2 linked regions of the Mus musculus genome follow. The protein of the gene in region 2 interacts with the protein of the main gene of each other region in a pairwise test. Links are inferred from orthologs where the notes say so. Each region holds a gene or a part of one and is shown on either strand. Other genes may lie near its edges.

The links. The genes of interacting proteins can lie anywhere in the genome.
Region 1: the proteins of Mipol1 (region 2) and Enkd1 interact in binary tests that used the Homo sapiens proteins (3 or more experiments, as listed by UniProt). The two-hybrid records come from large-scale screens. The link is inferred for Mus musculus from reciprocal best matches to the Homo sapiens genes MIPOL1 and ENKD1.

What each region holds. Positions count from the first base shown.
Region 1 is NC_000074.6:105,705,407-105,709,630, reverse strand, and holds the start of Enkd1 (enkurin domain-containing protein 1), read left to right. Parts: upstream 1-1,422; 5' UTR 1,423-1,474; exon of another isoform or gene 1,475-1,707; 5' UTR 1,708-1,722; coding exon 1,723-1,807; intron 1,808-1,887; coding exon 1,888-2,082; intron 2,083-2,892; coding exon 2,893-3,065; intron 3,066-4,224. Other genes in the region: 4933405L10Rik (uncharacterized protein C16orf86 homolog), read right to left, coding at 47-231, 618-835, 1,116-1,199. UniProt on the Homo sapiens protein: Microtubule-binding protein which regulates microtubule organization and stability. Promotes the stability of astral microtubules and facilitates the proper orientation of the mitotic spindle.
Region 2 is NC_000078.6:57,303,415-57,306,924, reverse strand, and holds part of Mipol1 (mirror-image polydactyly gene 1 protein homolog), read right to left. Parts: 5' UTR 3,508-3,510; coding exon 3,374-3,507; intron 915-3,373; coding exon 788-914; intron 1-787.

The DNA.
Region 1 (4,224 bases), on a different chromosome or scaffold from region 2:
CAGAAGACAAAGAAAACAAGAGAAGAGCCCAGGGACTGCCACTCACGCTCCAACCCCAAGGTCTCGGCGGCGGGTGCGGATGCGCTGGCCACAGCGGGCGGCACAGGAGCCCCGCCACTCTTGCGTTTCTTGGCTTTTTTGTGCTGTTTCGAGGACAGTGAGGATTCACTGTGGCTGCCTTCTGGCTCCTCCTTCTTCTGCAGCACCCCCGGTGGCAGCTCAACTTCTGACCTAGGATGGACATGGTGCTTGGCCCTGGGAGGGCTGGGGAACCCAAACCTGGGACAAGAGGCCTGAAAGAGGCAGGCTTCAGTCTTTGGTTCCTATATCTTGAGCCTAGGGCTTACCCCTGCCTGTCCACTAGAGCTAGTTAGCTGTCCATTTCTTAGACAGTGAAGCTCCAAGCCCAGTAGAGGCTCAGCATTTATGGTAGCTCAGTCTCCTTGCAAGATCTAGAAGTCCCAAATCCATACCAACCCCCCAGCCCCCAAGTTCTAGAGTTGGGAGTGAGGGGTATTGGTCAAAGACAAGAATCTCTGCCTTGAAGGAATGGGGATTTAGGAATCTCCGGGCATAAGACCCACCTTCCCAGCCCTTCCCTCCGAAAGCCCTCTCACTTTCTCTTGGGCCCATGAGCTGGTCTCACGATGGATGACGTAGGCTTGGGTCCTCTCTCCTCTCCTGCTTCCACCCCTGCATTGAGCCCTTCCTCTCCCACCTTTATTCCTTCCTCCTGGAGCTCTGGCTCTAAGCTGTGCCCCACGGGACACTTGTCTTCGCCTGGGCTCCTGCAGGTCTCATGTGCCGGCACCAGACACTCTTCTGTTCCTGGACACTAGAAGATACACATAGGTCATTGGGAGCCGATGGCCAGGCAAAGTATTGTGGGGATCAGTTATTCAAAGCCCAAAGCTGCTGCAATTGGAGTACATCTCCCTTGGTTGGGGGGGTGGTGGTGTCTCCTAACTACATATTGGCCACAAAATATGAAGGTAACCAGCTTAGGCCTCTCTACTTGTAGGGCTTGGCCTGGCAGTTAGAGGGTTGGGTTACCTAGAGTCCCACCTCTCCTGCCCTACCCCTCCATCTCCCGAGCTTTGAAATGCCCAAGTCACCTCAAGGCTCTCTGCAACCTGGGCTAACCCTACTGCTGCCCCATTCTGGGTTTCTGGCTGCCTCTTGGCCCCTTCTGAGGCCATAGGCTATGAGGAATCAGTGCATCCCTCGACAGTTGATCAGAGAAAACCTCAGGCCCAGAGCGGGGCTGGACTGGTACTCAGTGCTGGTAGGGGAGACAGGTTGAGAGGTAAGGCTCCTGTTGAGACCCGAGACTTAGAATCACTCCTCATCTGGAACTACAAACCCCAGAAGGCTGTTCGCCTTAGTCATTTGACCCCTGACCTCAGGAAGCCATTTGTTGCCAAGCAACAGCAACTCCTACCGGCTTGCAACAGTTGGCGGTAAAACTGCTCCAGTGAGAGCCCTCGCTGGGGCTTGGCGGGGGAGGGGCGGCGAACCCCTCTGGGCAGTGGGCTAGTCGCGGGGCGGTGGTACAGTCTGCGCCTAGAGACGGGCGGTCGTCGAGGGGTGGGGCTCGGTGATGGGGGCTACCGCGGGGATGCAGGGCTCGGGTGGAGGGTGGAAGCACCCGACAGGGATTAGAGGGGAAAGTTGCGCAGCGCAACAGGCCCTGGTGCACTGTTGCAGGGCTGCGGTAGGATCATGTGCGAGGGCCCGTCCCGCATCTCTGGACCCATCCCCCCAGACCCCACTCTCTGCCCGGACTACTACCGGCGGCCGGCCTCGGGTGAGTTGCGGGGTGCCTCGGCGGGGCGAGTACCCCGCCCCACCCCTGAGCACGGCTTTCCACCGCGTCTTGCTCCTCAGCCCAAGGACGCCTGGAAGGAAACGCGTTGAAGCTGGACCTGCTGACTTCAGGTCGGGACCTGGACTCCAGTCCTCCTCGTGGCCCTCGCATCAGGCCTGAAGCCCGAGAGATCCTAGAGCGTGGCCAGCGAGGCGTGGGGGACGTGCTGCTGCAACTGGGGTGCATCTCCCTCGGTTCGGGGGTCTCTCCTAAGAGTAAGTCCTTGCAGACGGGGTATTGAGGCATTCTTAGGTCAAAAGCAGAGATTAAAATAGGGTGCTTCTTAATTGCCTTGAGCCCATGCAGTTAATGTTCTTTTCTGGGTCTTAGTTTCTCTAGCATAAAAGAAGGGCAAAATACAATACCTCCTGGCAGGATCAGAGTCTATCCTTCTGCAGAAAGCCCTCGCTTCAAGCTTTCACACCTTGATGGAGCATTGTTTACTTAGTGCCTACTTTGTGCCAAACCCTGTAGCTGTTAGGAAAACGGGGTTAAAAAGTATGGGAGTCGTCCCAGGGTAGGGTAGTATCCAAGGGAGGCTTCCCCTTCTCTGAGGAGAAGAGAAAGGGGTAATGGGGGGGGGGGGATTTGGCACAGGCAGGACTGGGAGTAGAGGGGCTACAATTGGGATGTGTGAATTTAAAAAAAATTGGCGGGGGGAGTATGGGAGTCACAGTTGGAGGCAATGAACAAGACAGGCCATGTGTATAATATACACGGTGATTAATGGTATGCTAAATCATAAAATGTAGAAGATAACCAGGAGGGTGACTGTGGAAGGGAATAAGCTGATAACTGTGCTGTGGGTATGATGTCTAACTTCCATGAAGAGGCCTTGGTTGTATTTAAAAATGTGTGTGTATGTGTGTGTGAACCCAGGGCCTCTCTTCTACCAGACATCTCCCAGATTGTCTGAGAGGTCTTTCTGCCAAGGGTAGGGTGTGAATCTATATTCGATCTAGTCCGAGGTGCATGGCCATTTGGTAGGGCTGTCCCTAGCAATATTCCTCCCTGCACCCTTCCAGGGAAGAATCCAAAGGACCATGAGAAGGAAAACTTGAGGCGGATCAAAGAGATTCAGAGGCGCTTCCAAGACCAGGAACGCAGCCGGGAACAGGGTCAGCCTAAGCCACTGAAGGCACTGTGGCGCTCACCCAAGTATGACAATGTGGAGTCTCGAGTCAAGGCCAGGATGAAGGTATCTGTCCCAGGGAGGCAGACCTATCCATCTTGGCCAAGGCAATTATATCTGATCTAACTTACAGAGCATGTGTGTGCGTGCGTTCATGAGTGCGTGCGTTGGGGGAGATGGTGATCACAAAAGACTAAGACATCTGGGTGGACTTTCTCTGGGGAGCTGATGGCATCAGGTCAAGGATTAGGCTAGAGGAAGAGAACATTCCACAGAGATAAAACCCCACAGGTAGATTCTGGCATCAGAGGGAGTAGGGGCAATGGGCATAGTGGGCATAATTCAGTTTGTAAGGGGGAGAAGCAGAAGGTTTGAACAGAAAGCCAGCAGGGTACATATCTGAAAGAACTACCTAAGTTACCTAGTTACATGTGATATTGGAGATGGAATCGTGAGACACATGCACACTAGGTACTCATATAATATACCCACGACCTTCCTGCTAACTCATTCTCGGTTCCCCTATCTCTGTGTCTCTGTTTCACGCAGCCCAGGCTGACCTCAAACTCTTTGACTTTCTTTTTTGTTTTGTTTTTGTTTTGGTTTTTTTTTTTTTCGAGACAGGGTTTCTCTGTATAGCCCTGGCTGTCCTGGAACTCACTTTGTAGACCAGGCTGGCCTCAAACTCAGAAATCCGCTTGCCTCTGCCTCCCAAGTGCTGGGATTAAAGGCATGGGCCACCACGCCGGGCTACTCTTTGACTTTCTAACTCTCCTTTGTCCACCTCCTGAGCGCTGGGATTAAAAGTGTTCACTACCACACTACTTTCTCTTTTTCTTTTAATTCATTCATGACTTCTTTGAGATTAAAAAAAAAAATTACATGTCTGTGTGGCTACATGATTGTCTGTGCACCAGAGTCCAGAGGAGGGGATGGGCCTCCTGGGACTGGAGTTACAGAGAGCTGTGAACTGTCCTGTGCTATTGCTGAGTTGTTTCCTACTCCCACCCCCAACCATACCCCACCCCCACCCCACTATCTCCACTGCTACTTTGTTTCTAGACAGAGTCTCCCTGTGTAGCCTAGAATAGCTTCAAACCCATTATGTAGCCCAGGCTGGCCTTGAACTGGCCTAATTTTCCTGCCTTAGTCTACCGGGTTTGGACCACCACTCTCAGCTCATTTCTTTGAGTTTATAGCTTGCTCTTTAGCCCCAGGCTCTCCT
Region 2 (3,510 bases):
GTCTCAGCACATTCCATTTGAATTGGCACTGTCTGTCTGTCACTGATTTAAATATGGTATGTAAGAACTGCTAAATCAAAGCACAGAAAACATCTCATGCTCAAACAGAATGTTTCTTTTTACTTTCATCCATTCTTCCTTACATTTTTGTCATTTGTCTTGTTTCCCTTCAGAAACAATACTCAGGCTTCAGTCTGATTAGGTCAAACAATAAAATTAGTAAGATCAGAAAACTGTATAGAAATTTTAACAGAACCCATAGGAAGTGAACATTGTTTAATAAAATTATTTACAGACCAGGGAAATTGGAGTTAGAACCAGAGAAGAATAAACATTACATGTGCATTGAGCTGGATGCATGTAATGGTAGAGTAGGATCCAGGGCATATAACACCGTCTGCATCTTTGATGCGTGATTGCATATATTACTGACATGAAAGCATGCGTAGGTACTAAAAATAAAGAAAAATAAACAGAATAGCATGAAATTGGCTGATAATGTAGCCCACATTCCATAATGGTGAAATCAAATGAAATATGAGTATTGTTAATAACATAAATCACAAGCAAAGATTTATGAAAATGGGTGATATTACATAAACCAAAAAAGCTTATTTTCATAACCAATCACTTAACTAAATCATACCTGGATGACAAAGCAACACAAAGCGACCATTGAAGAATTAAAACATGAAATAAAACTGAATACTAAAGGACAACAGAGAAAACTGGAACTGTTGACAGTTAAGACACTGTTTATAGCAATTAGACTTCTACATTTCTATACCTTTGTATTGCTTGCTCTGAGAATTTCCAATTCTTTTTGAAGATATGCTACTGATGTCTCTTTATTTAAGTCTGGGATAACTTGATGAGAAATCACAGGTTCGTAATTCTTCCCACATTCCACAATACTGTAAATAAAGAGGATTTTAAATAATTAATATACATGATTCCATACAGGAATACATTTCTTATTAACAATGAATAAAAAAAGATACTAAGGTTTAAACTTTTATGTAGTTAAAGTACAATGACCACAAAACAATAAATGTATCAACGTACAGATATCAATTTACAATGGGAAAAAACACACAGTGATCCCAAAAGAGACTCCGGTTCAGTCTAATTAGGCCTGGTTCCGTGACCTGACAAGAGTTCAGATTAGAAGCTATAAATGTTTTGATTTGTAGTTCTATTTGGGATCAATTTATATATTTTTTGCTTTTCTGATAATGGAAACAATCATCTCCCCAACGTTATGCAAGGAGTATCATAGTCACATTTTCATTATTAATTGAAAGACATTAAATTAATATCTATTCCCTAAAGAGTTAATAATAAATATATTCTATAAGACCCTGAAGAGACCATATCCAGAGGTTAAGCAAGGCCAATGATGGGAGATGGGGCCACCCACTCATCTCCAAATTTTTAACCCAGAAGGGCTACTGTCTAAAGGAAATATGGGGACAAAGTATGGAGCAGAGACTGAAGGAAAGGTCATCCAGGGACTGCTCCACCTGGGAATCCATCCCATATACAGACACCAAACCCAGACACTATTGCAGATGCCAAAAAGTGCTTGCTGACAGGAGCTTGATATGGTTGTCTCCTGAGAGGCTCTGCCAGAGGTGGATGCTTTCAGTCAACCATTGGACTTAGCCCTGGTCCTCAATGGAGGAGTTAGAGAAAGGATGGAAGGAGCGGAAAGGGTTTGCAACCCCATAGGAAGAACAACAACATCAACCAACCAGACCCCCCCCCCCGAACTCCCAGGGACTAAACCACCAACCAAGGAGTACACATAGGGGGGACCCATGGCTCCAGCTGCATATGCAGCAGAGGATGGCCTTGTCTGGCATCAATGAGAGGAGAGGCCCTTGGTCCTGTGAAGGCTCCATGCCCCAGTGTAGCGGAATGCCAGTGCAGGGAGGGGTGGAAGAACACCTTCATAGAAGCAGGGGGAAGGGGGATGGTAGACGGGGTTCTGGAGGGGAAATCAGGAAAGGGGATAACATTTGAAATGTAAATACATAAAATATCCAATAAAATAAAATAAGTATATATTTGGATTGCATGTGGTCACCGAAAGAAAGAAAGAAAGAAAGAAAGAGAGAGAGAGAGAGAGGGAGGGAGGGAGGGAGGGAGGGAGGGAGGGAGAGAGAGAGAGAGAGAGAGAGAGAGAGAGAGAGAGAGAGAGAGAGAGAGAGAGAGAGAAAGAAAGAAAGAAAGAAAGAAAGAAAGAAAGAAAGAAAGAAAGAAAGAAAGAAAGAAAGGAAGGAAGGAAGAACGAATGAACTGCTTGGGGGAAAAAAACCAGAGCTGACAACAATCACAAGCTGTAAGCAGGAAGTATAATGAAGAAATGAGAAGAAGATGGGTTGTTTCTGATGTATTAAGTATTAAGCACTGATGAGTGTGTGACCTAAGCTCTTGGCAGGAGCATACGCTCTGCCATTTACGTTTCTTATAAATATGTTTATTCATTCTCCCATCATCCTCACCTCTATACCCTAAAATATACTCCCAATTGTACTTCAGTAAGAATCTGACACTAAGCAGGAGGAACACCAATACAGTTATTGATTTTATTATGTATTGATATCAATGAATATATCTGAACAATTCTGAACAGAATAGCAACTCCACAAAACTTTTAAAGTAAAACTCCAGAAAATACAAAAATCAGAATTATGTTGTCGTTTTTAAAATCTAGTGTTATCTTTACTGCACATGATTAATTATCAAAGTAGCATAATCTCACTCATAATAAACACAGGTATCATAGACTCAAAGTTCCTCACAGACGATGACTTAAAGGCACAGAATGTAGAATAATAAGAAAGGCAAAAGACAGACAGAGCACAGGATTACTCTAAAAGCATTCAAATCACCCAAAACAGAGAACATAGTGATGGAAAAATAAACACCTTTGGGCAGGTTTGAGCTTTAATAAATAATACATCATTTACACCAGTTTCACAAGTATCCTTATATGATAAAGTCACAGAAAATAAGATTGAATAGGAAACAAATTTCATTGCTTTCTTTAAACCTATTTTGTGCTATCTCTCAGCTATCTGGATACATTATATCAATACCATGGCAGTAATGGAAGCCCTTATAGAGACCTGAAATTGTTTATTAAATTAATTAACTATTTTATTTCTTTACATCCCAACTGTTGCTCCCCCTCCTAGCCCCCTCTCTCAGAGTTCTTCCCCCGCCCCTTCACACTGAAATTGTTTCCAAGTCACTAGCACATTAAATTTATCCGACACCAAAAATGAAGAAGAGGGAAAATGTATTAAGGAAAGCATGTTGTTCCAAATCTTACTTCTTAGATTAAAACACTAAACCCAACACGCACCTGCACTCTGCAGATGCCCCTTCATCCCGACAAGGTTGGAGGACCTGAAAATTGCTGGGTTTTCTTCCTGGTAGTTCAAGGTCCTCAGATGGGACTTCATTGCCTAATTCGCGTATGCTCTGCTCAGAATTCATAGT